4 linked regions of the Notamacropus eugenii genome follow. The protein of the gene in region 3 purifies or fractionates together with the protein of the main gene of each other region. This does not show direct contact. Links are inferred from orthologs where the notes say so. Each region holds a gene or a part of one and is shown on either strand. Other genes may lie near its edges. The genes, in order: MAP4K4, CTTNBP2, STRN and CTTNBP2NL.

The links.
Region 1: the proteins of STRN (region 3) and MAP4K4 purify together in Homo sapiens (affinity purification with mass spectrometry; 4 studies listed by BioGRID and IntAct, with this or other methods). This does not show direct contact. The link is inferred for Notamacropus eugenii from reciprocal best matches to the Homo sapiens genes STRN and MAP4K4.
Region 2: the proteins of STRN (region 3) and CTTNBP2 purify together in Homo sapiens (affinity purification with mass spectrometry; 3 studies listed by BioGRID and IntAct, with this or other methods). This does not show direct contact. The link is inferred for Notamacropus eugenii from reciprocal best matches to the Homo sapiens genes STRN and CTTNBP2.
Region 4: the proteins of STRN (region 3) and CTTNBP2NL purify together in Homo sapiens (affinity purification with mass spectrometry; 5 studies listed by BioGRID and IntAct, with this or other methods). This does not show direct contact. The link is inferred for Notamacropus eugenii from reciprocal best matches to the Homo sapiens genes STRN and CTTNBP2NL.

The regions. Positions count from the first base shown.
Region 1 is NC_092877.1:173,756,272-173,763,635, reverse strand, and holds the start of MAP4K4 (mitogen-activated protein kinase kinase kinase kinase 4), read left to right. Parts: upstream 1-4,351; 5' UTR 4,352-4,439; coding exon 4,440-4,496; intron 4,497-5,051; coding exon 5,052-5,117; intron 5,118-7,364.
Region 2 is NC_092874.1:134,964,180-134,971,525, reverse strand, and holds the start of CTTNBP2 (cortactin-binding protein 2), read right to left. Parts: upstream 3,014-7,346; 5' UTR 2,964-3,013; coding exon 2,883-2,963; intron 1-2,882. UniProt on the Homo sapiens protein: Regulates the dendritic spine distribution of CTTN/cortactin in hippocampal neurons, and thus controls dendritic spinogenesis and dendritic spine maintenance.
Region 3 is NC_092872.1:541,646,662-541,654,300, forward strand, and holds the start of STRN (striatin), read right to left. Parts: upstream 3,018-7,639; 5' UTR 2,927-3,017; coding exon 2,684-2,926; intron 1-2,683. UniProt on the Homo sapiens protein: Calmodulin-binding scaffolding protein which is the center of the striatin-interacting phosphatase and kinase (STRIPAK) complexes.
Region 4 is NC_092873.1:291,455,167-291,463,127, reverse strand, and holds the start of CTTNBP2NL (CTTNBP2 N-terminal-like protein), read right to left. Parts: upstream 3,004-7,961; 5' UTR 2,920-3,003; intron 2,912-2,919; exon of another isoform or gene 2,782-2,911; intron 1-2,781. UniProt on the Homo sapiens protein: Regulates lamellipodial actin dynamics in a CTTN-dependent manner. Associates with core striatin-interacting phosphatase and kinase (STRIPAK) complex to form CTTNBP2NL-STRIPAK complexes.

The sequences.
Region 1 (7,364 bases), on a different chromosome or scaffold from region 3:
CATTAGAGAGGGACCTTACTGTTGGTAAACTTTAAAACACTATAAAAATGTCACCAATAATAATAACTATAATTCTGTATAAGAATATGAGGCGAACACTAAACACTTTAATGAGTCATGTTTCCTGACTTTGAAGTTCATTTCTTTTTCCATTATTCCAACATGGGTAAGGAGATGAGTTTCTTCTTTATCTCTTACCCTTTTTTCCTCTCCCCCTTCACCTCTGCCTCACAATCCAAATCAATCTAATTTAATCCAATCTAATCCACTCCAATGCAAGAAAAATTTATTAAATTTATTATTTATTATTATTTATTAAACACCCCACTATAAGCAAAATATTGGAGGTAAAAAGACAAAACAAAAAAGCAATCTTTGCTTTTAAGAAACTTATTTGCTTATACAACATGAAAACAATTGACTATTTCACCTCTCATTCCAATTAATTCCCAAATCTTCTACCTTTCCACACCCTTTCAAACTAGCGCAAATCTCCAAAAGACCCTAACCTCAGATAGTCTCTCTCTTATCTCCACAGATCTACTTCCCTCCACCCTACCCTTGCTTAATCCCTTCATAGATTGAAAATATATTTTGACTATGGAACTCCTACCATTTCTGCAATAAAGGAAAAATTAGGAAAAAAGTCAAGTAACATGTGTAGATGTAGACTGCTGGCCTAATTGGATACTATTGTGTTATTGACAGTGCATTGTTCTGAATGGGTGAAAATTTATTGCCTGTCTGTCCTTCTGCAAGTTGTGAGGAGGTACATTTACATTTGACTGCTGGCTAAACTCATTGGGGCCATCTCCTAGACCATCAAACTTCTGACTATTACACCTAGGATATTTATTTTCCCTTAAACTTTACTAATTCTCAGAATTTCTGGGTTTTTTTCCCCAGTCCTGTATGAGCCTGAGTAGGTCACTCAATGTGTCATTTTCACATCTCATTTTCTTCATCTGGTCCTATAAGGGCATCTAACCTTATCTCCAACAATAAGCCTTCATCTCTAGGGAAAAAAAAAGCTAGTCTCCCTATCAAAGTCCTCAGCCTAGTTTTCATTTATACTATTTCCCTTGCATAAGATAACCATCTGGCACTTAATTATTTTAGTGCCTTGCATTGTTAGTTATATTTTTATGTATTCTATATTTTACGTCTTTCACAGTGAAAAGAGTATGAAAATAAGAAGATCTGGGTTTTCATTCCAATCTGTCACTTATTACCTAGGTCAGTATGTGACCATAGGCAATTGGTTTAACCTGTCCTATCTTTATCTCTAAAATGGGGATAAATACACTCTTATCAACTCCCTCCCTAAATTCTGATAAGGAAAGAACTTTTTAAATTATTAGGAGTTATAGAAATGCGAGTTATTCCTTTCTTCCCAGCTGTATTATAAACTCCAGGAAAAGGACCCTGACTTATTACACACCCACAGGGCCTAGCACAATGCACTTCACTCTGTGGTTTTTTTGGTAACTGTTTTACTATTTCAGGAAACGTCGGGCATGCTTTATCTCATTTCCTCCTCTGTAGCCTTGTCCTTCACTACTGCCACACTGCTGCCAAACACAGGGTACATTTTCCTTTCCTTTTCCAGTTCTGTAACCTTTAACTATGAGCAAATTAAATTCTGCCGCTCTCCCAGAATGGGATACACCCATTTATTTCTCTATGATTCTACTTATTATCCCTGCCAACCAAAATAGTCCTCCTGTATTGTCTGCCTTTGTTGTTGTTCAGTTGTGACCCCATTTAGGGTTTTCTCAGCAAAGATGATAGTGTGGTTTGCCATTTCCTTCTCTAGCTTGTTTTACGGATGAGAAAACTGAGGCAAACTTGCCCTGGGTCACACAGCTAGTCTAAGAGCAGATTTGAACTCAGGAAGAGATGTCTTCCGGACTCCAGGACCAGAAAGCATTTACAGCCATTGTGCCACTTAGTCTCCCTCTATTAGCATGTAAACTCTTGGAGGACAGGGGCTAGTCTTTGATTTTTTCCTTTCTATCCACAGCAATGAGTACAATACTTGGCACATATTAAGTACTTAATTAATTCATTTTTCATTCATTCATAAATACTTGTCGGTTAATTCCTACACACAAGGAGTTTACAATTAAAATCAAACTGACAGACAAAGCATGTACATGCCAGTTAGTTGTAAAAAGGCAAAAAAGTGGTAAATGACAAGTCCAGTTCTATGAGACTTTGGAAGGGGCCATTCTAGTCCACAGTGGTCAAAAAAGACTTCTAGGAGATAGGATTTGAGCTAAGCCTTGACAGAGTCCAGACAGAGGAGTAAAGAGGTCTGTTATCGGAAGTAAGGGAGGAGAGCGTGGCCTAGAGATGAAGAAATTTGAAATTATGGTCAAAGGAAGGTGACAGATCTGTTGGCCATATGGAGTATTCTTGGTGGCAGGCAGTGGGAGATCAAGTTGAACAAGTCGGTTAGAGGACCAGATTATAGATGGTTTGGGATGACAAGCTAAGGAGTTTATCCTGTACCCTGTGGGCTACTCAATGTTTTTGAGCAAAGGAATATTACAAGGAAAAACTGCCTAGGAGAGTACAAGCATATGGCAGACACTCAATAAATTCTTGTTTAATTGGACTGAATTGCCTAACTTCCAAGTGTACTGGTAAGGTTACCTTCAGAGCCAGTTAAAAGACTTTCTGAGAAGTTCCGACTCCCTACTCTGGCCACAAAAATATTAAGGTTCACACTAATAAGGCATCACAAAGAAAAGTTAGAATAAATACATCGCGGGTCTATTTTGATCGTTGCTACTTTACTAGAAAATCCTGTGATGAAATAAACTTAAGGAAAACAATTGAGATAGAACAATATTTAGGAACCATGAGCGGAGGTCTGAGAAGAAATAAGCTCATTTCTCCAGAAGGGGAAAGTGGGAAAAAGAGAGGGTGGATTTTGCTCTCAGAAGATTCTCCAATCCTTATAGAGAACACCAGCAGGCCCAGCCAGCCTCAGTGGGACACACCCACCGCCCGAGGTGTTGGAGGGGGAAGGAAGGGGTTAATCCCGTTCTTGTTCTTTCCTGGGGAGCCCAAGTGTTTTCTTTACCGTTAGGGATTTCTTGTTTGTTGCGTTTCTTTGGGGGTGCTGCTGCTCATTTCCAGTGTTCAAAGCCTTAAGCTCGGTGCCCCGGAGCACATGGTCCGGACCATGTCAATTTCCTTTCTCTGACAATTACAGAGCTCTCCTGATTTTCACACTGGTTTTCTCTGGGATCTTCCCGTCTGGGAACACAACGCACACAGACCCTCTGCCTTCGTTATTATTTCTGTAGTCGGCCTTTAAACCCCCCACCGCAGCCTAGCATTCTTCTCCAGGTCCGGCCAGGCTGGAGAGAGGCCGGGCACGCCTCGGCGGCCCGGGACTCACTTCTCTATTGTTCCCCGCCACACCCCTGCTGAATATGGATACATCCGAGCAAGTAGCGACTCCCAGACCGACCCGGAGAAAGGAACTGCTCAGGATTTTTCCTTCTAGTTTACCCAGAAGTGCTTTGGGGCGTGTGAGTGTGTGTGTGTGTGTTTCCGCTGGCTTTTCCTGTTGGAGAAGGAAAGGGGGAGCTGTTTTCTCTCTCTTCTCATAATCTAGTTTTTTGTATCCTTTCTCTCCTCCTCTTTCTCCTCCTCCTTTTTCTCCTCCTCCTCCTGGGTTATCTTTGTCTGGCTCCCTTGGTCCCTGAACTCTCCCCAGCGCCGCAGCTCCGAGTCCTTGGCCGCTGTGGATGTGGGTGCCGTGCCCTCCGCTGCACCGGCGGCACCGGGAGCAGCAGCGGCGGGGGGGCTAGCGCCGACAGGCAGCCATCGGCGCTGCCGGGAGCCGAGGCTCGCCCAGGCCGGAGGGGAGCCGCCGTCCGAGGCCCTCCACCTTCCTCGCCCGTTTGTCTGGGAGGAGGAGGGGGGTGCAGATGCGAGCGCGGCCGCTGGGCGTGGAGGAGGCTGAGGCTTAAGCCGGGAGTGGGGGCAGAGCCTGGGGGCCGTTGCTGCCACCTCAACATGGTGTAAACCCGCCTCCGACGCCCCACGCTCCCAGTTTCCTCTCTCTTCCTACACACACACACACACACACACACACACACACACGCACACTGATAGACAGACGGACAACTCAGATCGGGGGAAATAAAGGCTCATCCCCGGGCAGCGAGCTATCCGGCGGCGGCAGCAGCGGCGACCGGACCGGAGCAGCAGCAGCAGCGGCGGCCGGACCGAGCAGCCGGAGGAAGATCCGAGCAGCAGCAGCGGCAGTCGCCTCAGCGCCGCCTCCCAATGAGGAGCAGCCTTGGGCTGGCGGGGCTCGTCTCAGTGTGAGGAGCTGCTGCCATCGACCATTAGCCCTTTATAGAAACAATTCCAATTGAATTTCAAAAGCATATATCTATTTTTTGCAAAAAGAGAAGATGGCGAACGACTCGCCTGCAAAAAGTCTGGTGGACATAGACCTCTCCTCGTTGCGGGTGAGTGCCAGCGACAATGAAGCCGCCCCCCCCCCCCCTAATCCTCCCGTCTCCAGCAGGGTCCCCCCTCGCCTGTGCTCTCTGCACCCTCACTCCTTTCACACACACCCCCCCCCCCCCCGCGCGCCCCGTGCCCAGCCCTCGCGGGTCCAGCCGTGTGCGTGTGCTTGGGGCTGGGGTGGGGGTGCCGCCTCTGCCGGCCTCCCCTTCCTGCCCCGCTCTGGGTGGTGCTGCCGGGGCGGGGGTGGGGGGGGGGAGAGTTGGAGGCTGCTGGGTTGATGCTTTTCCTTTGTTTGCATGTATTGGCATGTGCGTGGAAAAATTAGGGCGCAACAGCTGCACCCAACATCCTCCCGGCTCTAGGCACCGTTGTGGGTTTTTTTGCAAGAGCCCCCCCCCCTTCCCCTCCATCCACCCTCTACGTACACTTGGACATAAAGCAAGTTCTTTATTCCTTTGCTTTAAAGGCCAAACTAACTTCTTTTGTATGCCTCTCATCTTTCAACTCCCCTCCTAAAAAAATAAAAACCAAACCCTCCCTTCTTTCCTCTCCAGGATCCTGCTGGGATTTTTGAGCTGGTGGAAGTAGTTGGCAATGGCACTTATGGACAAGTCTATAAGGTTGGTGTCTGAGCCCTCTTTGTTTCCCGTGACATTTTGGGGGAGGGCAGGAGGCGACTTGGCTGCACCAATTGGTCAAGTAAAGTTTGGTGGGTTTCTGTATTAGTGCTTTATTTTCAGCCCCCTCCCCCCAAATATCAGGTTTACTGTCTCACTGGCCTTAAAGGACCTCATTTTCTGACTTTCAGATAGGGAAAGAAACTATTCTCTCAGGCATGTACTTTACTTGAATAAGAACGGGGGTGGGGGGGGGTGGAAGAACGGAGGGAAATGTTTTCATAAGGCAATTTCATTTTTTTTTTTTTAAGACTACCCAGTTGAGTTTGTGTAGCTTAATTAAAATTCAGGAATGTTGTAATAGGCAGGCATTGCTTACATTCATTTTAAAGCACTGCCTTGGCCTTCCTGAAATTGTCATCTTGTCTCCATGTTTGAACCTCTTCCAAGTGCTCAAGGTGCAGTTTGGTATTAACTGATGCTACTTTCTAGTTTAGCTTGGTGTACATCATGCAGTGTACTGACTGAAGGCTACCTTGATTGGAAGTGGCCTGGGGTGGGGCTGAATGGGGACAGGGACCACTGTCCAGATTTAGGCAACAAAAGCAGGAAGGATTATAGTGTGAACATTATAAAATCTGAATTCCAGGAAGAACCTGTTTGACAAGTGCATAATTAAAGCAGAAATCGGGGAGAGTGAGAAGTGTTTCACACTCATCCCAAGTCTTATTTTGTTTTTTTTTTTTAAATGAACAGTGAATGCGACAGACAGGTCTTGAGACTGCATGACTGTGCAATGAGTAGCAGCTACCTGGTGTGACTAACAGTTATCGTATATTTTAACTAATACGTGGTCTTAAAGAATAAGCTGTAGCAAATAGTAGTAGCTTGTTTTATATAGCACTATAAGGATTTGCTAAGCACTTTCCACAAAACTCTGTTAGGTAGGTAATGCATTTATTGGTATAGGATCATAGAACCTGAGCCAGATCCAGTCCAACCCCCCTCATTTTAAAATGAGCAAAGAAACTCACAGATATTAAGGGGCTTGTCCAAACCTCACATGTAAGTCTTAGAACAGGGATTGATACCTAGGTCTTCTGACTCTGGGACCAGTGCTCTACTAAACTATACTACTTGAGAAATAGGAACAAAGCCTTGAAAACTGAAAACAAAAGGTTACATTCTCCTTTCCAGTAGTTTTTTTAATCACTTATATGACAATCCATTCTTGTAAAAAAAAAAGTTGTATGGCTATTTTCTTCTAGTGAACAAATGTATTTGAACAGGAACATTTTTCGTTATATAAATATTGAAACTTGAGTTTTTGTACTTAAGGTTAGAATCACCACCATGTGCATTACTTTGTCTTATTTTAAAGATAGTTTGGACATTTAGAATCTTAAAAGCTTAGAGTATTAGAGGTGGGATTCTTCAGGTCAACCCCCTCATTTCCAAGTGACTAATCATTTTTTCTTCTTTACATATGTTTCTATCACCTGAGTTCTCTTCAGCCATGTCCAGTACTGTGATTGTGAGCCCTCTGCAGTTAACACATTAATGGATATTTGTGAATGGTCTCCATTCGTTGTGTTCACTCATCTAGGCCTTGGTAGGGCAATAGGAGGACTGTTGACTACTGTAATCTGCTTTCCATCTAGAAACAAATTTGCCTAATTCAGTTTAGAAGTTTTGGGAAAGTGTATTTTTCCTAGTGTGTTGTAACTTCCGAAGGCCCAGATGACTGGCTTAAATGGACTTAACGACATACAGAGTGAACACTCTTTTCAGGTCAAATCTAAGTTGTGAATGGACACTTCTAGATGATTTTGCAAAAGCATGTTGTTTATCTGTTTATCCAGTTCAGTTTTGTTTTTTAGAGAGTGGGGTTAGGGAGTAGGGGACCTTATGGGAGCTTATTTCTGTTAAAGAAAGCAGACATCAGCCTGGTTTTAAAATAGAACTCAATGAAAGAGAGTAGATTAACATGAACTACAGGTAGGTCATGTGGGTCTGCAGAAGCAAGGTACTTGTTAAAATCATCTGATGCTGGGTGAGGCCTTTTATTTCAACCGTTAGAAATAAGGTTTAGACATTTATTGTTACTAAAACTCTTTAGGTTGCAAGTAATTTGAATTTTTTGCCCTCCAGATTCCTTACTTGTCTCTGTCTCCCTCTCTTTTCTCCTAGCTCCCTTTGGATTTTGAAACAAATTGGTTGAATATTACATTTGGGCTGTATTTGGAATGT
Region 2 (7,346 bases), on a different chromosome or scaffold from region 3:
GGGAGTTATTTCCACTGTGGAATGATAATATGAATTCCCAGAATAACAATATTTGGCTAAGGAATTGAAAACACCACTGGACTCCTGGGATGGTTGACGGCACTTGATAACTGATATGATAGCACCAATAATACTGGCAGTCTTAATCGTTACCATCCCTTTCATTGCACTGGCTAGGTTTTTAGGATTTAAATAGCTAAACAAAACTTTCACAACCTGAATTAAAAACACTCCCCTGGAAATCATATTAAACTGAAAAACTATAAATTCAACTTGTTTCCAGGCAACCATCCAAATAGATCAACTTTCAGAAAAAAAACACCCAACTTCCAAAAAATAACTTAATTTGCTTTTAAGGATCACTTAAGTCATCATTAGCAAAAGAAATACACACCCAATTTTAAATAAAACGAAACTGGGTTTAAAAAAGATATAAAGAGCCATTCTTTCCAAAATATACAGAATTTAAAACGTAGCAAAAAGGACTCAATCAGCCAGGAATATGGAGGAGTGTGAAATATCTCTTGCTTTTAAATACTGGGTGATAAATTGCATTTGTGTGAAAATATCACCTCTCCAGCTCCTCTTTAATTTAAAATTAGCCTTCAGGCCATCAACTAAACTGACAATGGCGAGTGGCTGACATAATGAGTAAACAAATCTTAAAAAAACATTTTTAAGAAAAAAAAGCTTTCCCAGATATTAAAAAAAGGGTTACTTAAAAAAAGTTGTAAAAGGCTAAATGATTAATCTCACCAAAATATATCTAATCTAAAGGAATCTTTGGAAATAAAAAGCAGGTTAAGATTTTCTCTGGCTAGTCTCAAGATTAAACCTCAAACTAATTGTACGTTCACACACATACATACACACAAGCCACTCCTGGGATTTTGTGAATTATTAAACAATAAAAAAAAAGAACTAGCAACAACATCATGAAAAATCAACCTAACCATCACCATCTGAATTTATGGCCTAAACTAATATATCAATCAGATAGAGTCCATAATCAAGTGTTTATGTTTGGCTTTACTTTCAGTAGATGATTAAAGACCTCAGAGTCATAACAAAGAAGCCTATTCTAAGTACGCAAGGAGATCAAAAAAATCTTCACCTTCACTACTTTACCTTATCCATCATCACACCGGAAGATTCCTGGTCATTTTCAGTAAAACAATTGCTTTCTGGCTTAAAAGCAGTCTCGATTGTGTTTCACATGCGGCTACTGGTTTTCTTTCCACATCATAAATTGGACTATTTCATTGGCAATCTTAATGCCTTTTTAAACAAATTTCCTACGTCAATACAGGGATTCTTCTAAAAGTCTAGAAACCCAAATCTAGCAGTTGCAGAAGTAGAAATCAATAGCTCTCCGACTGCTCTCTTCTAAATCGTCCCTTCTCTTGTATATTTCTCCTTTCAGTTCTTGTTAGGGCCATGGAGGCACTCCATCCCTGGTCCCTGTTACCCTCACCCCCACCCACCCCTTCCTTCTTCTCTCCCTACACCAGTGGTAAGGTTCTAAGGGAGGGAAATAACATTAAGCAGGCTAGCTAGGGAAAGTTGAAAAGATTGTATCTGTTTACTCTTGGCCCTGTCCCCTGCTTTTGACTGAAATGTAGCTCAGTTTAAGCAGTAAGAATCAAGAAGGAAGTGTATGGTACAAGACAGAAGAGTTAACAGAAATTCTGATGTCCTTCACTTCATCAGAACCCCACACTGGATAACTGAAGTAAGAGAAGGGCCAAGGGCAGGCAGGCAGAGCTGCGGCCCCCCTCTCCCCCTTCTTTTTTAAACAGGCTCCACGCGGCTTTAAACAGCCAGGCTGTTTCCTTAAATACTGAAAACATTTTCCACCCATTACGTGGAGTTCAGCTCTATTCAACAGTAGGGGCTTGTCACCTGCTCTGATTTCCACCCACAAGGTACAAAGATGAAGGCGGGGGAGGAGAAGGACAGGTACCACGGGGCATATGGGGGGGGGGGGGGGGGGGGAGAAAGGCGATTTAACTACAAAACCTCGTCTTGAACCTGTCTCTGTCTCAGTCTCCGTTGGTCGCTGTTTCTCTCCCCCCCTTCACCCCCAGCTTCTGTCAGTACAACCCTAAAAGGGGGAATGGGAAGAGGTGAGGAGGGGTTTCAAGGAGTCAAAGGCAGTGCCAATGCCCGGTCACTGGCAGCCCCGAGCCCAATGCACCCGTGGATTTCTGTGGTGACTTTCCCCACTGGCATCTGCAAGCATCCTCAAACACACAATAGGCTTCTGCACACCTGTCCTACACCTAACCAGACATCATCCTCTTCCCCTTCCCCGAATCTCCGAGATCGCTGGCCAGTGACAAGCGCCCAGCTCGAAGGCTCGCCCCTGCGCACACACACACACACACACACACACACACACACACACACACACACTCACACAAACACGCGCTCAGCAGAGATGCAAACAATAGGGGGTCAAGTTCGCTGCTACACACCACAATTCAGCCTCGGCCAAACCAGCAGGGGTTGGGGTGACTGGGAAGGGTTGGGGGAGAAGAGGAGGAGGGCGTGCAAAGAGGGTGGGACCGAGGAGAGTAAGCTGAGGGAAAGGGTGAGGGCGGCTAGAGGGGCGGGCTCCGGAGAGGTGCCCCGGGGGGAGTCCCCGCCGAGGAAGGCAGGAGGAAAGGACCCGGCGCTTTCCAGCTGCGAGGGAAGGTCGGGAGCAGCCCTCGGCCACCTCCCGCCCCACCCCTCCAGTCGCAGGGGTGTGGCGTGGGGACGAAAGGTATTCCCGGGAGGGAAAAAGGTTGCAGAGCCCAGGAGATCGCGGTACCCGCCACCTTAAGCCCCAGAACCCCGAACCACCGCCTGCAACGCGCGCGCCCCAGGAGCTCGGTTACCGCCGCCGCTGCCGGGGCTCCCGCCGGGTCCTCCGGGTGGCGGGAGAAGTCGGGCTCGCAGTTCGCCCCGTCCGTCGCCATCTTCCTGCTCTAGCGGATCTGAATGCGAGCACCGAGCTGCAGCTCCCCAGCTCGGCCCCCTCGCTCTGCACGGGAGGCGCTTAACCCCCTGCGCGCCGGAGAGCCGGGCACACAGACTAACCCAGAGGAGAGGAAGGAGTCGGGAGCGCCGCGCTCTGCGCACCTCCCAGCTCCGCACCCCCGGCCCGCAAAGCACGGTACACTCCTCCCCTTGCCTGCCCGCCCCCGCTGCGCCTTAACCCGCTGTGCGCTGGAGCCCAGCCCAGCGCGGCGCCCGGGTGCCAGGGAGGGGCCCGCGGCACTGTGCAGGCGGGCACCCCCGCTTTCTCGCGCTGCGAGCCTCCCTTCTTTCCGGCTGCAGGAACCCACGCCGCCAGGCATCCCGGTGGAAGGGTCTCTGGAGAGGGGGGTGACCTTGATCGTACACCCGCCTCCTCAGTTTGAAAGACAGCCCAAGTCTTTCCAAAGCACACCCTCACTCCTTTCTCTTTGCAGGGAAACGGACTAGGAATAAGCCGGGCTCTAGGTCGTGGGTCTGTCCCCGAGGCAGATGGGGAGTCTGAGGCACCGGGCAGAAGCTGACAGGACCCCCTACGGGACAGCGGCGCAGCGGTAACACTCGATCTCAGGGCTCCCAAACCTGACTCTGACCGAGGTCAGGAGTAATCGCCTTCCCTTCCCAGCCCGGCACTACCCCAAAGACAAGGCTTTGTTTTCATCTTCGGAAATTTCCTTTTATCCCTTCGGCTAAAGTCACTTGTCAAACCTCCCATCTCTCAAAGGGATCGACTCTTTCCCTCCTCCCAAGGGCCACCAATTCTAAACCGAAATTTTCTCTCCTGGTCTCCTATTCATAGTACCGTGATTTAAAGCTACAGATCCAGAAGGAGGGCCCAGAGATGCAGTGACGCGTTCAAGGTCATGGGCTGTAAATGAAGAATTTGAACCATGGTTCTTAGACTTTATATCCAGGAGGCTTCCCCCCTGCATTGATTAGCCAGCCATCCTCTACTGCCCATCCCACTTCATCACTTAGACTTTAGACACAGCTTCCGACAGCGCACTGGGCTCAGAGTCAAGAGACTCGTGTTTCAAACCGAACTTTGAAACTATGTGTCCTTGGACCAGTACTTCCCTAGATCTGTTTCCTCATCTAAAAATTCCCTCTAAAGTCTTTCCCATTTCTGTCATTATGCATTGGGTAGAGATTTGATGCCAAGAGCATCAGCTTTCTGGTTCTGCCTCAGACACTTACTAGTGTCTGTTAGGGTATTATTTGTAGTTACTTGGTCTCTATTTCTCCAAGTGTAGAATGGGGATAATACTATTGTAGGGTGTGACCGTCCGTGCTGGTTAAATAGAAAATGCGATAATTAGCTTTCTAAACCTTACAGTGTTGTATGAATGTTAATTTTTTGTTGATGCGGGTGATTCTAGCCCTAGCCAAAGAGTCCTCTCATGGGGACAAGATACTGGTCTACCTCACTTCTTAAACATTTTAGAGGAAGTGTGATGTTGTGGGAAAAGCGCTAAATTCGGAGTCAGAAAATCTGGATTCTAATCCTAGTTCTGCTTTGTACCGACTGAGCCATCTCAACCTTTGTGGTCTTAGAGATTTAGCCTCTGACTGTACTCCTATTGATCTTGCCCTGAGGATCATAGTGTGTCTTTTTAGTATTCCAGTCCACCAATCAATTAACAGACATATATGAAGCTCCATCTTGTGCCAGGCATTGGTCTCTCCATTCTGATCACTAAATGATTAGCCCTGAAAAAAAAAATAAAAGGAATTAACTTTGTAGTCTGAAATACTAACAATGGGGGGAGGGGGACATCATTTTTATAAGATTTTTCTAATACAAATTTATAAAATATTTTTTAAAAGATCACTTTTTTCTATATAATTCACAAGGGATCTTGCATAATATTAGTTTGCTCCATACTCTTTTGCCCCCCCCATCTGATTCAGTTCATGCCCTTTCCTGCCAACTACCATGTCCTACAAATCTATCCCTTTATCAGGACCATATGGTCAGAATTACTAGATATCCTAAAAATGTGTTGAAAACATGAAATCAAATCCAAGCATCTAAACTGTGTTTCAGTAAAGTAGCAATGGACTAGCATTTATTGACTCCTTAGGAAAAAATAGACTTGAAATTCTAAGAGATCATTAGATTATAATTTCCAACCCTGGGCTCTGACTAACTGGGACCAATATTCCTTTTTTAGACAGGTACATATCCATATTGGGACTTCTAATTATAGGTTCTTCACACTCTACTCACTAAATTTACAAATTGGGCCCAAATCTAACACAAACCAGGGCAGGGAAAATCTCTCCTGTAGGGTCTTGAACTGGAATTGATTCATAGCCTAAAAAAGTGTTAACTCTTTAATTTCAACCTTCTGGAAGATTTTCAAACCAAATTTCAGGTTAACGATCAGTCAAGTGATCTTTCTCAGCGAAGAGATTGAGGCATAATTAATTCTTGAATAAATACAAGTTTTTTATTTTTCTTTGAGGCATTAGCTCTTTGGATTTACCATCCCTGTTTCTCAAGAAAAAGAAATATTCCTCTGAAATTGATGCCTTCCCCTAGAATACAAACTCTGCCGACAAGATAATACAACAGTACCTAATAAGTAAAAGTTATATTACTGAAGAACTTGGAATTAAGAGAAATGAAAGAAGTTTCCTCTTTCTTTTCAGGAAACATTTGCTTGCAAAACAAAGCAGTCAATTTTCTTGTATTGCTGTTGGATTATAATCCAGAGTTAACTATCTCACTCCTGAAATGGAAAACCTTCAGGGAGGAGTTAAGAACTAGAAATAATTTAATGTTGTAACATGATTTCTTCAGGAAGTACCATCTGAGGAGTTTATGCTGTTGTTATTGAGATTAAACGTTTGTGGGTTCATTTGTGGGTTCTTTGGTGACCCCAATGAAAATGTTCAGTGTCATGAATCAGAATCATTAGCATTAAGGCTATAAAAACAGAATTAGCCCTAGAATGAAAGTTCAAGAGCCCTAACTTGATCAAAGGAGAGGAGAGAACTTACAAATAAAGGTAATTTCACTTCTAAAAATCCCACTTGTACACTGGTTAATTGACAACTTTTTTTTTGCCCTGCTTTAACCTTCCTGTTCTTGAGATTTAAAGGATTTTGCTTTGCTCGTTCAATTGTCAGACCACTATAAATTAAGTCCTTTTACTAAAATGGCCTAGTTAGTGCAGCATCACCAGTAGGACTAGCTAGTTTAAACTCTCTTCTGAGAATCAGCTCGTGTGGAGACTGAAAATTAACCCTTTCTCAGAGTCTTTGCACAAAGCACACCTTCCATTAATGTGAGGTGGCACTGAATCAAAAGAAACACTGACCGGTTATGTAAATTAAATCTTCTGAAGCTTCATTAAATACTTAAATAGAAAACTCATCCCAATGTTAAAGAAGTAAATTTTCCATTGGCAAGTTTGGAAAGATAGCAGGGCAAAGATGGAGGGGGAGGAGAAGGCAATGAATAAGAATGAATCTTATTTTTAAATCGGTTACATTTAACATTAAAATGAAAAGATCATGAATTTTATTTATCATACTGGAGAACCAACTAATCTCCCCTGTATGTGCATCCAACATGACTGGGATTTGTTATTTGGATTTGTTTTTGTAGTAGTGATAAGTTTCTATTGAACCAGTCCTCCTTGTGACCTATGTGATGACAGGCTGGAGTCAACAATTCAGTCTGTGACTGAGGAATTTTTTTGTTTTCTTTCCTTGAACCCATGACCTTGGCCTAATTGGCATTATTCTCCAACTAAATAAGCTGAACAACCTAGATAGTTCCATATGATAAAGCCGTTAGGATTCCCAATATTTTATACTGAAATAAAGACTCTCCACTGATCTCAGAAAAGATTACCTCCCTCCATAAAGAAGATTGTAATCATTGTGGTCTCTACTACACTAAATTGGGGGAGGGGAGGTGTTATTAGCTCTATAGAGCAAACCATGTTTTACTCAGACTTTGTGCTTGTTGAAGGACAAAATTACTGATTAACAAATCAACTCAGGCTACCTCATCAAAGTTTTAGTAATAAAATGTATAAAGTACCAGATCACTGTCATTCCTCTCTGTTCCCTGGCATCTGACATGATAGAGCCCCACTCGTTTTCTCATGAACACTAAATAAGAAAGCATCTGAGACCTGAGCTTCTTGTATCTGCTTTATAAGAGCAAAACCCAAAGCACTTGGAATTAATATACATATACATATTCTGGTAGTGGAAAAAAATAAAGTTCCTTCCCCTACTTTCATTTTTATAACATCTCATAATTTCATAATGGTCAACCATTGATTATCCACAGGTGGTTTAGATAT
Region 3 (7,639 bases):
CTTTTTGTATGCCCAGTGGGCACAGTGCCCAGCATATAGTAAGCACTTGATAAATGTTTATTGTATTATATTATTGTGTCTTCTATACCAGGCTTAGAGCTTAAAACATTTTTTGGTTGGTGTTGTTCAGTCGTGTCCAACTCTTCATGACCCTGTGGACCAAGTATCTATTCTTGGCAAAGATACTGGAGTAGTTTGCCTTTTCCTTCTCTAGTTTTAGGCAGGGGTTAAGTGACTTGGCCAGGGTCACTAAGTGGTATCTGAGGCAAGATTTGAACTCTGGTCTTCCTGACTATCCACTATGCTATCTAGCTGACCCACTTGAAACACAATATGTTCTTATAAACTTTTGAAAATTAAACTAAATAATGTTTACAAAATATATCCTTTCATGCTTTTTCAACTCGCCAAGTCCAAAACTTGAGGTCTTTTATTAACAAATATTAATTAAAAGGAATTATGAAGATCATCTAGTCCCCATACGAGAAGCTAAAGTCTAAAAAGATAAGCCCCACGGTATGCTTCCACCCACCCTGTGATTTCTGTAAAGTTAAACAAAGCCTTTTCAAAACTTAGAAATCCATAGGTTTTTTTAAATATTACATGCCACAGGACTTGCATGGGAACTCTGAGCTTTACAAAGCTTCCAGGCTGTTCAGTAGTTAGGATCTAGTCAGTAAGTGGAGGGAAGGAGAGGGAACAGGAAAGATAAGGAAGACCAAAAAAAAAAAAAAAAAGCCATATCAAATGGTGAAAGCATCAACATGGTACAATCAAAGTTCCAGCTAAAGTACAGCAGTTCTTCTTCAATTACGTTCAATTAAAATGCAAATACCCAAATAAAAGTTATAGAAACAAGTTATTATCACTTAAGTTGCTTTGTTTAACCGGTTTTTTTTGTGGGTGGGGGAATGAGATTGTTTAGAAGCAGTAATTGGGAGCACTTGAACAAACCACTTATATTGGAGACTAACAAGGAAAAGTTGCCATTTTTAAAAAAAGGTGATATTCAGTTGGTGATATCCTTGTTTCCAGAGTATCCAATCAACAAGTATTTATTCATCATTTACTAAATATCTATACTGGGCTAGGCAATACTGATACAAAATAAAAAAATGAGACGATCTGCATTCAAGGAACTTATATTCTATCAAGGAAACAGGACATACCTGTTGGATCATAGATTTAGAGCTGCAATGAAAACAAGAGATCATTTAATCCTCACACACTCCCTGTTTTCTAGATGAGGAAATGAGGCTCAGAGAAGCTGTGACTTGCCCATGTCAAGACAGGAAGTAAAGGGGGCAGGATTCAAACACACAAGTTTTGTGCCCTCCAAATTTGTCCTCTTTCCACAGTACTATTCAGCTTTTCCCACGTAAGTAGGTAAACTGTATATCAAGGAACCACAGGCTATACTCAAGACATAGCAGGCACATAGAGAACCCAATCCCACCTTCTGCAAGAGGCCTTTCTCATCCCCCCTCTGCTCCGGTCTTCCCTGCTGAGTTACTTTTCATTTAGATGGTACCTTCTATATAATTATCTGCATGGTGTTTCCCCTACTAGAAGATGAGTTCCTTGAGAGCCAGAACCTCCCCCCCTCTTTTCTTCCCCTTTCTCTGTATCCCCAGGACAGTGCCTACCACAGGACTGAACATTTAGTTATTAAAGATCGCTCTATCTCAGGACTTAAGGCACGGTGAAGGGATTAACTGTGCAAAGCCTGTGAACACCCAGTCTGGAGCGGACATATCTTATCTCAAAACAAGGCGTTGTACAGCCTATCACTAATGTGACTCCCTTTAACAGACCTCAACTTCCTTCAAAGAAAAATTCAATCTGGAAAAAAACCTCTTGACAAAAAGTTTTTATATTTGGTCGAGGTTTCTGTTTGTTTCCCCCCAGAGAATCTGTGGTGTGGGGGTTTTTTTTGTTTTTAAATCTTAACAAATCAGTTTCCCTTAAGTAAAGAACTTGACTTCTGACCCTCCATTCATTCAGACATCTCGGATCTAAAATCAGTGGGTGAAACGCACTGCGGCATAAGGCAGAGATTCGAATATATAGGAATTTTCTGTTTCTGAAGATACTATTTTTTCCCTTTTCCGTTTCCCACCTCTGGCCATACAACTTCATCTGTCCTCTCATTTCCTTTCTTTCACCGAGAAGAGAATCTACAGGAAAACACCACGTCTGGCCAAGCGCTGACCCCTCAACCCTGCGGGGAGCTCTCTGGCTCTGGCCCCCCGACGCGGGGCATGACTCTCGGAAGTGGAGCGGTCCGGGACCCTGCTTATCAATCTTCAACTAAGGAGGAAAAGACCCGAGCTCCGAGCAGGACCAGGAGACGACGGGGGAGCAGCTTTGGGGGGGGGGGGGGGGCAGGGCAGGGCAGGGAAGAGGCATTTCCCAAGGGCCTCCTCCGTCCAGGCGCCGCGCCCAGCGCTCCACAAACATCATTTCATTCCATTACACGGGAGGGGCGGCCGGGGACTAGAGCAGGTAGAGGCAGAGTGGGTGGGGCGAGGTGAAGGGGCTCTCGCGGCGGGGTGGGCGGAACCGAGGGAAGGGGGAGGGGACAGGCGGGAGGCTGGGAGGAAGCGGCAGGGGCGGGGCGAGGAGGGAGGAAGGAGGGAGGAAAGAGGCGGGAGGAGGAGGGCCGGGCCGGGAGGGTCTCTACCTGCAGCTCCGCCCGCTCCACCTCCCACTGGGCGCGCTCCACCTCGAAGCGGGCCCACTCGTGCTGCAGGAAGTGCAGGATCCCTGGGAGGCTGTACTGGGCTCGGGCCGCCCCCGTCGCCGCCGCAGCCGCCCCGTCGCCCGCGGCCGCCGCTTCTGCCAAGGGCCCGAGCCCCTTGACGCCCGCGGCTGCCGCCGGGTGGCTGTTGCTGAAGAAGACGCCGGGCCCCGCCTGCTCGTCCATGGCGGCCGTGGCGGCAGCCTGCTGCGGACCGGTGCCGGCTCTCGCAGCCGCCGAGGCAAACGGCAGCAACGGCGCCTCCTCCTCTTCCCTCCGCCCTCCTCTCCCCGCCCACACTCCGAGTCAGCAGGGAGCGGCTGCCCGGGCGCTTGGCCGGCCCCCCGAGCTGCTGACGGGCCGGGAAATGGGTCAATTGCAGAGCGCGCGCGCCCCGAGGGCTTGCTGGGAAATGTAGTCTCGGGGTGGCGGCGTTAATCGGCGGGAGTTGGGAAAGGGGCTAGGGGGCCTGGAAGGATTCTTTAGAAACTAGCGCTGGCAGACTCCAGCTGTCTGAGCCTAGCTGTGGCGGAGACCTCTTAGTCCTCCTTCCCGCCCCTCAGCCTGGCAGAGCCGGGTGCGGGCCGCTTCTCGGGACACACACCGACACGCACGGAAGGAAGTTCTTGGGCCGCGCTCTCTTGCACATACCCACACCCACGGAAGTTCGCGGGCTCTGCGCTCGCTCGGTCTCCGTCTCTAACTAAGTAGCACACGCACCCTCACCCCAAGGAAGTCGTCTGTGACAGCGCTCTCTCTCGCACGGTCGCGCACATGCACCCACGCAGATCCGCGGAGACAAACATATCACATCCCTCTACGCACCAAAGGATCGACGACTCGGCTCTTCCCCCACGAGCTGTCGTTTCCCGGGGTTATACTGGCTGGCTGGTCCTCCTTCTAGGCGAAAGTTCGTCTTGGGAATTGGTCCCAGGACCGGTCCCTCTCTACCCTGCTGCGTCAATTTCAGTTAAAGTCACGAAAATGGTGGTCACGAGTTTTGTTTTGTTTTCCATTCCCGGCCTGATCTTTTTATGTTGTCTCTGAAGCCTCCACTGACCTGAAGGAGTACTTCCCTCCAAACCTTGGCAGGATTTTCCTTAATTCCCGTTCTCTTCCCACACCCCAAGCCCACCCAGGCTTTCTAAGTCCTCTCACCAGTTGGGGTCAGCGAGATCCTTTCAGGGGATAATCGAGATCAAAGCTATTTTCATGATAACATTTTAGTTTCATAATAAGACACAATTTCTATCATGGTTAATATCAGTAGATATAAACCACATGAACCCCAAAGAGGAGGGTGGTCCTCAATCATTTCTAAGAGTGTAAAGTAATACTAATTATAAAAACATTTGAGAACTGCTGGGCTAATTCATAAGATCTTAGATTGGGATGTAGAAGAGAATTTCCAGGTCAGCTCCCGTATTTGATAGTTGAGAAAACTGAAGACCTAAGTGATTGACTTGTCAAAGTCATTCATGTAGGTCCTAAGTCTGAATCTACACATCTAGAACTCGCAACTGAAATTTTTGTAATACTGGAAAGATGGCAGAATAGATGATCTCCTAAGGGCCCCTTTCAGCTGAAAACCTGTATGAACTTAGGAAATCACTTTCTTCCTTTCTGCCAAGATTAGAGGGCTTCACTCCTGCTCCAGTCATCTGGAAAGCTAGCCCAGTATCACTGTTTGTTCCAACTCCTAATTTGGTGATCACCTCTTCTGACAACTCCTTCCAAAGCCCTAGTAAAGGCCCATGCACATAGTAAGGAGGGAATATTATCCAATAAAATTAAATTTCTTCCATGAATGGTCCATTGGTAGAGTACATTTGATGTTTGGCTAGCTGGAATCTCCCCATGAGAAAGAGATTGGAGAACTTGCTCCTGGAATCATCCTGATTCCAAGATAATATGAAATGGAAGTGGCTTAGAGAGACTGTGGAGCATATATAGACACTCTGTAAATGGTTCCAGTCTTCTAATTAATGGTTAAGAGAAGTCTTTCAGTTGTCTCTGTAGGCAGAACTGGGGTACCCAAAATGACCTGAGTCAGCCTCAGCCTACTCTCTTCTGACAATGTTTCAGAAGAGCTGCTTTTGGTTGGACTCCGCTGATTACAAATCAGTCCTGAGTACAGATCCAGCTTCAGACAATTAGCTGTGTGACCTTGGAGAAGTCACTTAATCTGTTAGCCTCAGTTTCCTGAACTGCAAAAACAGGGATAACAATAGCACTTTGTCAGTGTAAGATGCTTGATGTAGATGATATAAATCCTAGCTATTATTATTAAAGGAAAAGGGCTTGAACCTCCTCAGTAAGACCAACATGTAACTCATTAAAATGGGTCTTGGTCCTAGGCCTCTGAACTTGTTCTCCATTTTAGGTGAAGGGATTGGAAACTAGGCACCCTGACATCCCATTTGCAGCCAGCTCAACACTAATGTTCTGAGTGAGAGGCAAGGAATGATCTTTTGGGACTAACCCAGCAAAAACTAAAAGACTAGGATTTAGACTAGAGTTTAAAACAGCATAAAAAGGTGCCAGATTTTTTTCAAGTCTTTAGTGTCTTTCTCTCAGAAATCTTGAGAATTGATCCCTCAACATCCTCATAATAGACCTCCTTGTGTATTACTTGGTCTATTTCATAAAATAATAACAGCTAACATTTATATAGCACCTCCTCTTTCCCAGGCACTTCTCTAAGCACTTTACAATTTTTATCTCAGTTGATCCTCACAACAATTCTGATAGACATTCTTGTTCCTATTTTTATACATAAGGAAAATTAAGCAAGCAGGAGTTACATGATTTGCCTGAGATAACACAGCTAGGGAAGTGTCTGAGGCTGGATTTGAATTTAGGAAGATGAGTCTTACTGACTCTATACCTAGAGTTCTATCCACTGTGCCACTTAGGTGCTCTTAGTTCAGTTGTACTTTTCTTTTTTATGTATTTAGTGCCATTTCTATTTCTTTATAAAGTGCAAAGGGGATTGTAATAACAGAATCTAAATGTTGTGACTCCATTGTCACTGATATAGAAAAGAGTTTATTATAGAAATCTTGATAGATATTTTCCATTCCTCATAAGCTAGTTGTTTGTCCTTAAATGCTCTTGATGATTTGGCTTGAGTCTTCTCAAGAAGTTTTCCATAAACCTGATTTTTCCCTCAACTGATTCCCACTTTTTTGATATGATACTATGCCACAATATTCTACCACCATCCTCTATGTTATAAATGATGTTCTAAATCAATATGGTTTTTGCATCCTCCATTTCTCTGCTTAGTAAAGAGATCATGTTTGGGAACCAGGATTCATACAAATGGTGGTAGTATATATTGATATCTATTCTTTTATTCATTTTATATATTTAGGAATAAATCAGTTGCTTCATTTGTATGCCATAATAAATGAGTTGTTTCATTTGTAAGCCATATTATCTCACTCCCACAAGCATTTCCCTTTTATCTCTCTATTCAAGATCTATTCTCTTTTCCTATAGACATGCTTGAAAAAAACCAAAATGCTCATTTGAATCTACAATTCACTCATATTATCATCCTCCAACCTTTCAGGGAGAAGAAGCTTCTTCCTAGAAGCTTTCTATACCTGTTGCCTCCCGACTTTATCCTGGGTCCCTTTCTCTTCTCATTTCATTCTCTCCTTTCACTCACTTCTCAACCTCTCGCAATCTGGCTTCAACTGAAACTGCTTTCTACAAAGTTACCAATGATATCTTAATTGACAAATCTGACGACCTGTTCTCAAACCTCTGCTTTTTTCTCTGCAGCATCTGACACCATTGGCCACTTTTCCCTCCTGAATACTCCCTCTTCTCTGGGCTTTTGTGACATTCCTTTCTCTCAGTTCTCTGTCCACCTGTCTGGCTACCTCTTCTCAGTGTTCTTTGTTGAAACATTATCTATACCCTACTCCCTAATTGTGGTTGCACTCCAAAGGCAACCTCTTCTCCTTTTACCAAATCCACAGATTCAATGATCATCTCTTCACCATTAACTCCCAGATTTATATACCCAGGCCTAGTCTCTCTCCTGAGCTCCAGTCCTACATCATCAACTGCCTGTTAGACATTTTGAACTGATGTCTGCTAGGAACCTAAAACTCAACATAACCTCAACAAAACTCATTATTTTTCTCCCCATATTCATCCTTCTTCCTAAATTCTGTCAGTCACGTAGACACATCTGCTTTTCTTGATTATTCTCCTTTACTCTGCATATCTAATCAGCTGCCAAATTTTGTGATTGTATTTACCCATCTCTCACATCTATCCCTTTCTTTCAACTCACAGCAATCACTCTCATTCAGGCTTGCACCACCTTTTACTTGGATTATTGCAAGAGTCTCCTAATTGGTCCCCCTGCATCCAATCTCTCTCCTCTCCAATAGTCCACACAGAGAAGAAAGCATGTTAAAGCATGTCTAACCATGTCACTTCCTTTTTCAATAAATTGTAGTGGTTTTCTCTTACCTCTAGGATCAAATATAAGCTTGCATTTAAAGCCTTTCACAACCTAACTTCAACCTACTCTTATTTTTGATATATTTCTCCCCTTAATATACTCTTGTGATTCAGCCAAATTGGCTTTCTTGCCATTTCTCATACACATTTCATATCCTGCCCCCACCTGGAATATACTCTTCTCCCTTCAGCATTTTAGAATCCCTAGTTTACTTCAAAGCTCAACTCATCCTACTTCCTAGAGGAGTCCTTTCCTGATCTCCCCAGCTGCTAGTGTTTTTTCCTTAAAAATTAACTTGTATTTATGTTGTATATATTTACATGTATACATGTTGTCTGCAACAAATAAGAAGTGGGACTTTGCATTTTTTACAATTACAAAACTGCAAACATGCCATTTACTACAGAATATCA
Region 4 (7,961 bases), on a different chromosome or scaffold from region 3:
CTTATCAAAGAGTTATCTTGGTAGGTCTACACCAAGGTGACAGGTTCTCAGTCTTTCTCTGAGATGAACAAGACCAAACAGGTGCTGTAATGATGACCAAGACATACAAAATGCCAGTTTTTATTTACTCTGCCAAATAATCCAATAGCGTGATGGGCCTTGGCAATTCATTTCTTTGGCTTTATGTCTGTCATCTTTTTTTGTTCTGCATCTTGATGAGCCTGATCATTCCCTTTGAGTTTCTGTAGCTCTAGTTGAGGCGCCCATGTATTAATCTCTCCATATACTTCTCTATGTACATAGTAAACAACTCTCCAAGTGCTTCCAACCAGCCTCAGATCTTTTTTGCTCTTTCTGATGATTTTTGAGAACAATCTTTAAATAGATCTCTGTAGAAGGATTGAAGGCTCCAAATCTACAACTCACAAATCATTACCCTGGGGAAGTTTAAAATGTACTTTGTAATTGGAATTGACTTTCTCAGTATCCCCTCCACTTTGCACAGTTGGCTGTATAACCTGGGGCAAGTCACTTAAGCTCTTAGTGCCTCTGTTTCCTCACCTGGAAATGGGGATAATAATAGCACCTATTTCACTAGAGTGCAGTGAGGGTCAAATGAGATAACATCTGTAAAGTGCTTTGCCAACCTTAAGGTCCCATAGAATTGTTACCTATTATTATTATAGCACATGTTGTTCAGTAGTGTCCTGCTCTTCGAGACTTTATTTAATGTTTTCTTGGCAAAGATAGTGGTATGGCTTGCCATTTTCTTTCTCAGCTCATTTTACAGAAGAGGAAACTGAGGCAGACAAAGCTTAAGTGACTTGTCCAGTTACTTAACACCCAGCTAGTAAGTATCTGAGGTCAAATTTGAACTCAAGTCTTCATCACTGTAGGCCTAGCCTACCATGTAGCTGCCCTATTATTAGCAAATAATAGGTATTTAATGATGCTTATTGATTTGACTTAGAAGTAAAAGCAATAATAATATCTACGGGAAATGTACACCCTCTGTGACTGGTCCTAAGTAATCACTTTGTCATAACACTACACCAACATTAAGGGTAACTTACAAGTGAAAATTAAGGAAGTAACGTTAAAATGTATGATGAATTGTTACACATGCAAAGTGTTACCCTATTGGATGTCCACTGACAGTCCAATGGCACTCATGCTAATGGAAATTCCAAAATACTAACCACATACCATAAATTACAGTGAGCGGAAAGCACTGGACTAGTAGTCAGAAGGCCTGAGATTGAGTCTTGTCTCTGCCTCTCAGACTACCTTACTTTAGCGGGAGGTCACTGCACCACTCTGTAAAATGAAGAGATTGTACTACAAGATCTCTAAGAATATGGAAAGAAATAAGGGTTGGGCAAGCGGCACAGTGCTGAATTTGATCCGGAAGACCTAAAATTCAGAAAATCCTCTAGCAGACACTAGCAGTGAACCTAAGCAAATCACTCCATCGCTGTCCTCCTCCCTTTCCTCAACTGTAATAATGTAGCACCTCCCTCCCGGATTGTTGCGAGGATCAAATGAAATATGTGTTAACTGCTTAGCTCAGTGGTTATCGGCATAGAGTAGGCGCTTAATAAATGCTTTCTGGAGTGTACACTCAGAATATCCTTTACCTTAGTGGCATATGCAGTTTACCTTGTTCAACGTACTGCGATTCTGCAGGTGAACCAAACTACATCGTTTACCTTACTATATTTTCAACTATAGAAAAGATCTGCAGCATCTAATAGTGGGTGTGGATCGAGAAGAAAGGAACCAAAGGCCATTAAACCAGATTAATCATAAACCCTCCCACCACTGGACCAGGATTTTCTTGAAACACTTCCTGCCTTTTGTTTCAAGATGTACACCTTTCAAGGGGATCCAAGTATCCCAGAGCAACCGGCCAACCTTGGGTCCCTTATTCACATTCCTACAGCGCGTCCCCACGAAGGATCCTAAGTTATCCGCTGCCTGTTTGTATTCTACACACTCGGTCAAGTCCGTCAATTAGCCAACTTGGGCAGCGGCGAGGCCCCAACAAGGAGGAGGAACCTCGAATTCCCCAGGGAATTCGTGGAGGGAGTAGGGAGGTGGAGATCAAAGGCAGCAAACCCCACAAGACCGCAGCCTAAGGACCGACCTGGGCTCCCCCAAAGCGGGGACGGGAGGAGGGAGGGGCAGCTCTAAAGCCCGGGAGACTCCCTTTGCCCAGGCCAGCTACATGGGCTTCCTCCCCGGGCTGGAAGGGGAGGAAAACCAGGGCTTTCGGCTCGAGGGAGAAGCGAGGTCCGGGGGGCCGACTGCCGGGCTGGCATTGGGATGGGGAGGTCTTTTTCATTTACGGACGCAGGTGGGTGTGAGGGCACCGACCGAAATGGGGAGGGGACAGGGAGGGAGGGACCGAGTTGGGGCAGGTGGCGGGCTGGGGGGAGGGGACTGTCGGGGCTGAGAGGGGCGAGGGGCGGGGATGCGGGGAAGCCCTCTTCCAGAGAGGGGTGCAGAGGGGAGGGCTCCCCGTAGGGGGTGGATGGGGAGCGGGGGAAGGGGTCTGCGGCTGGACAGGAGCTGGGGCGGGCCCGGGGATCCCCTCAAAGGTTGGGGCGCCGCCTCCTCTAGGAATGGGGGGCGCGGGCAGAGAAGGAGGAGGGCCCCGCCCCCTCAGGGGATGGGGTGCTAGGGACCGGGGTGGGGGGAGGCCGGCAGTCCCACCCTCACCTTTCTCTCGAGACCCCGGTCTCCCCGCAATCCCCAAGTGCCCGGCCCAGTGGCTCCTACCTCTTCCCCGGCGCTTCGGGCTCCGCTCCCCGCCACCTCCGCCTCCCGCCTCCCATCCACGGTCCCTCGCCTCCCCTCCGCCTCCTTCCCTCCCCCCGCCGGGTCCGTGCCTTGACAGCCTCCCGGACCAATTGTCACCTCAGCCTCGCGGCTCGCTGACCAATGCCCGCCGGGCGGAGGCGGGGCTTCTCCAATGTCATTCAGGCTCCTCCCCGGGCCCCAAGATCCCTTTTGTTTGGGGAGAGCCGGGCAGGGATTGAGCTCGCGTCACTTCCGGCGGGAAGAGCTCTCCTCCCAGCCTGGCGCGCGGCTCGGCTCTCGCGCCCCATCCTGCTGGGCTCCATCGCCGCTCGCCGGGCCGCGGCAGGGGGCGTGCATGCCTTCGCCTGGTCCTCGACGGAGCGGGAAGGACTTGGCGTTCTTTCCCGGGATGATGTTCCCGGCTTGCAGTTGTGCCCCGCGGGGCTTGGGCTTTAGGATTCGGATTCCATCGCCCAGCTCACTAATACTCTCATTTGTGATCTCCTTCTGGTACTCACTTTAAGAACGAGACTCTTCTTTGTCCTTGGCTGCCCTAGCGGAGATGCCTTGGGAACGGCCAAGGGGGACAGCAGATCGCCCTTCCGGTCTGGACCTTGGCCTTGCCTGCAGCCAGACCCCACGTGTTGGCAGTGGGAGGGTGGTGGAAACTGAGTGTGCAGTGGGATGGTCCCATAGAATGCAAATGCCTTGAAGGCAAAGACTGATTTTTTTTTTTTTGGTACCTCCCAAGGTTTAGCGCTGTCAATAGACATGGATCCCACCATGTGCTATGGGGATACAAAGGCCAAAAAAATAATCCTACCCTCAAGGAGCTCAGGAGGGTGACAACGTGCAAGCAACTATGTGAAACCCAAATATAGATATGCAAACGTGGACATATGTCCATATGCCCGTATGTACGTAAGTGGGGAAGTAGACATAACCAATATCTTGGGAAGATTCAGAGCCTTCCATCTTCCAAAGTCCTGATTTCAAGTTCCGTCTCTTGAAGGACATTACTGATGAGATTGAATTAATCTTGGTCAGATCTTACCCCACTTGCTTGGAATTTAATCTAAGGTGGGGGAGCCCATTGTGTTCTACTCAAACTTGGGTGGAAGTAGATCCTTTGGTCTAGATAGCCCAAAGCTGCGGGTGAACTGAGTTTGGAGATAGTTTCTCTCTCCAAGGGTAACATGATGTCACTCTCAGCCCCCCATTGAACACCTCTTCTTTGAAGGGTATATGAACTGCGAGCGCACTGCCATGATTGTTTTTGCTCCAAGGGGGCCATCTGCACTGGTCCTGATCTATATCTTGCCAATGGATCCAGATATCTGAGGAGGAGAGAGTGAGGCTGGTGACTTTGCACAGACTTCCCTCTCAAATCAATTCACTTGCAAGTCATGGCATCATCTTTCTGATGTCTTGGTTCTCTTTCAGAACAAAGGTCAAACAACATCTTTGGTCTAAGAGAGACAGCCAAAGGACTATCCTTTTATTAAAAACTTGCTGACCTTATTAATAAAATGATTAAATTACCCAGAAACTATGCTTCTCAAACTTTTTAATCACCACAATATGGAACTCAATCTAATGCAAACAACTATGCAAAAACAAGATATATGCACATGTCATATATGTATATACATGCTCACATGTGTATGTGTAATACATATACACACATATCCTATGATAAACAAGAATTAACCAATAGAGGGAAAACACTAGATTTAAGAGGAATTTGGAAGGCTTCCAGTACAAAGTAGGATTTTAGCTAGGACTTGAAGGAAGTCAGGGAAGCCTGGAGGCAGAAGTGAAAAGGGAGATCACATCAGGGATGGGGGACAGCAAGTGACAATGCTCAGAGATAAGAGATGGAGTATCTCTCAGAAGAACTGCACGTAGAGTATGGAAAGTATGAGGAATTGTAAGATACAAGTAGACTGGAAAGACAAAGAAGACTGGAAAGACAAAGAAGACTGTGTGGGGTGGGGAGGGCAGGAGGGTAGATTATAAAGGGCTTTGAATGCCAGATAGATCCTGGAGGTGATAGGGAGCCATTGGAGTTAATTGAGTAGGGGATGTGGCATGATTGGAGTTGCATTTTAGGAAATCCACTTTAGTGGATGAATTGAGGATGAATTGGAGCAGGGAGAGACTTGAAGCAGACATATTCACCAGTGGGCTGTTTCAATAGTGGCCTAATTAACACCAAGAAAACACAGGTGCTCTATCAGCCATCAGCACACCATCTATACAAATGGAGAAGCTTTGAATGCTGTGGATAAGTTCACTTACCTTGGTAGTGTACTTTCCAGGGATGTACACATTGACAATGGGGTTGACGCACACATTGCCAAAACTAACTCAGTGTTTGGGAGGCTCCAAAGAAAAGTTTGGGAGAGAAGAGGTATTGGACTGACTTCCAAGCTGAAGGTCTACAGAGCTGTTGTGCTGACCTCATTGTTGTATGCCTGGGAAAAATGGACAGCCTACCAGTACCATGCCAGGAAACGGAATCATTTCCATTTGAACTGTCTTAGGAAGATTCTGAGGATCACCTGGCAGGATAAGGTATCAGATGCTGAAGTCCTTGCTTGAGCTGAACTGCCAAGTATTCAAACTATGCTTCAGAGTGTGTAACTCCTATGGGCTGGCCACGTTGTTTGAATGCAAAATGTACATTTGCGACTGTTTTATGGAGAACTCACATGGGGCAGGTGATCACATGGTGGTCAGAAGAAGTGATACAAGGATGCTCTCAAGGTCTCTCTCAAGAACTTTAGATTTGATTATGGGACTGGCACAGGACTGCTCAGCATGGCATGCCCACATCAGAAAGGGTGATGTGCTCTATGAGCAAAGCAGAATTGAGACAGCACAAAGTAAATGTAGAATGTGCAAATTTGGAGTATCTACCCCAAATGTTCACATGGACTATCTGTGCCCAACCTGTGGTAGAGCATTCTGAGCTCGTATGGGTCTGATCAGCCACAGTTGGACACACTGTAACTTGAGTTTATCATAGTAATGTCATTTTGGTCCTCGTGGAGAACCAAGGACAACAACCAACCAACTTCAATAGTCTAGGTGTGGTTAGGTGATGAAGTGGATAGAGTACCTAGAGTCAGGAAGACTCCTTTTAAGGAATTCAAATTCAGCCTCTGACACTTACTAGCTATGTAACCTTGGGCAAGTCACTTTTCCCTGTTTGCCTTAGTTTCTTCGTCTGTAAAATAAACTGGAGAAGGAAATGACAAATCAGTCACAGTATCTTTGTCAAGAAAACCCTAAATGGGGTCGTAAAGAGTTGGACATGACTGAACCCTCCCCAGCTAAATAACAGTGAGACAAGGGGGTGAATTTGAGAGATGTTGCAAAGGTAAAATCCAAAAGGTAAAAAAAGGTAAAAATGTTGCCTTGGCAACAGATTGGTGTGTGTGTGTGTGTGTGTGTGTGTGTGTGTGTGTGTGTGTGTGTGTATGTGTGAAAGAGAGAGAGAGAGGATCCAGGATGACTCTTACTTTCTTCACTTTTAAAATGAGAGAATTGGATAAGATGATCTGTACTATCCCTTCTCTCTCAACTATTTTTATGATAAATTTTTATACTTTTAAATCTGTCTCTCCCAAACTTCTATCACTCTTTCTCCTACCCCCCACACCCAGGCCAAGCATAAGGGATATGTAGATCAAAAGGACCTTAGATATACTCCAAAATCTAATCCCCGTTCTATAGTATCAGCCCTTCAAATAATTCAAGACACCTTACCAAGGGTTTCCTCCGTTTTTATGGACTGCTTGGAGCACAATCCCTGCTGGTGCTTGGAAGACCAACACTGAGTGATAGAGTAAAGATGTCGTGAGTGAAATTGCTTTTATGAGTACAATGGAGGTCAAAATCTCAGGATTCCATGATGGAAGATTACACCATCCAATCTGTTTCACCGCTATATTAATAATCACAAGAGGGACAGAGTAAGAAAGTATAGTGTAAACCTAACAGGACTAAACAGAAAAAAACTATTCAGTATGACAGCCAACTTGTTTGTGGTGGCCTAATGGTGTCACCTTGTATATGAAGGACAGCAAATTCATTCATGGATTATCTAATTCTTGGATGCTTCTGGATATAGCACAATTGGTAAGGGAAGGATGACAGAATCAGAGACCACCCTTCTCTGCCCTTTAGTCTGCTATTTGCATTCTGATTCGAGGGTCCAGGGAGGGGACTGGAACCTCAGTTACTATACTAGAGGCTGCTAGGAATATAAAAATGAATGTTATGGATCCTGACTTAAGGATTCTTATAGTAGGAAAAAGAGGGGGAAGAAAATGATTGAAATGTTCAAATGCAGGTTTTTCCAAAAGTTTTCGTGCAGTTTTAAGTTTTTAAAACTTAAAAGACTTTGGGGATACCTTGTATAGGCTAGGTGCTGGTATAGATATAGGTCCACAAATAGTTTCATTTCCTTCTCCTCCCATTTGCTCTGCAATGCAATGAGGAAGTACCACATTCCTTGACAATGGGGAGAAGCCCTGGCTATTTTCTGCCTATTCCTGAATCACCAGGAGAGCCAGCCCGGTGATTCAGTCTTTCCTCCCCACACTCGTTGCCATCGACCTCTCCACCCAACCTTTGCTCCACTGAAAGCGGGAGTGGGAGTTCTGTTCTGTGACTTGTTTCCTTTGTAACAACAAGCAAAGTCTTCCCATACTTCCAATGAGTTCCCTTCCTGTCTCCTCCTGGACTTGTGTGGGAGAACCCCAACATGAATGATATCAGCTCTGTTTGGTGTTTTCTGGTTACTCCTACTTTTAATTTATTACTCCAGGGGATAGTGAGTGGGTGGGGATAGTACACCCTATCTTCTAACAAAGTCTACAGTTGGCAGAGCCCAGGCTTTAAATGCTTTAGAGGGGAATAAAAAAGAAGCAGAAAGCACTTGGGCCCTTAGGGAGTACCCAGTCTTATGGGAGTAATATGACCCCACAAAAGCACTTTATAAGGAAATTTAGAAACAAATGCAAATGAGCACATGCCCTACAAACAGATAGTATCTTAATAACACCTTAAGGTGGGATACTTACTTTTTCAAAGTATTTTCCTATCACTTACTTCTTCCAGATTTACAAATTACAAAGCTTAAAAAAAGC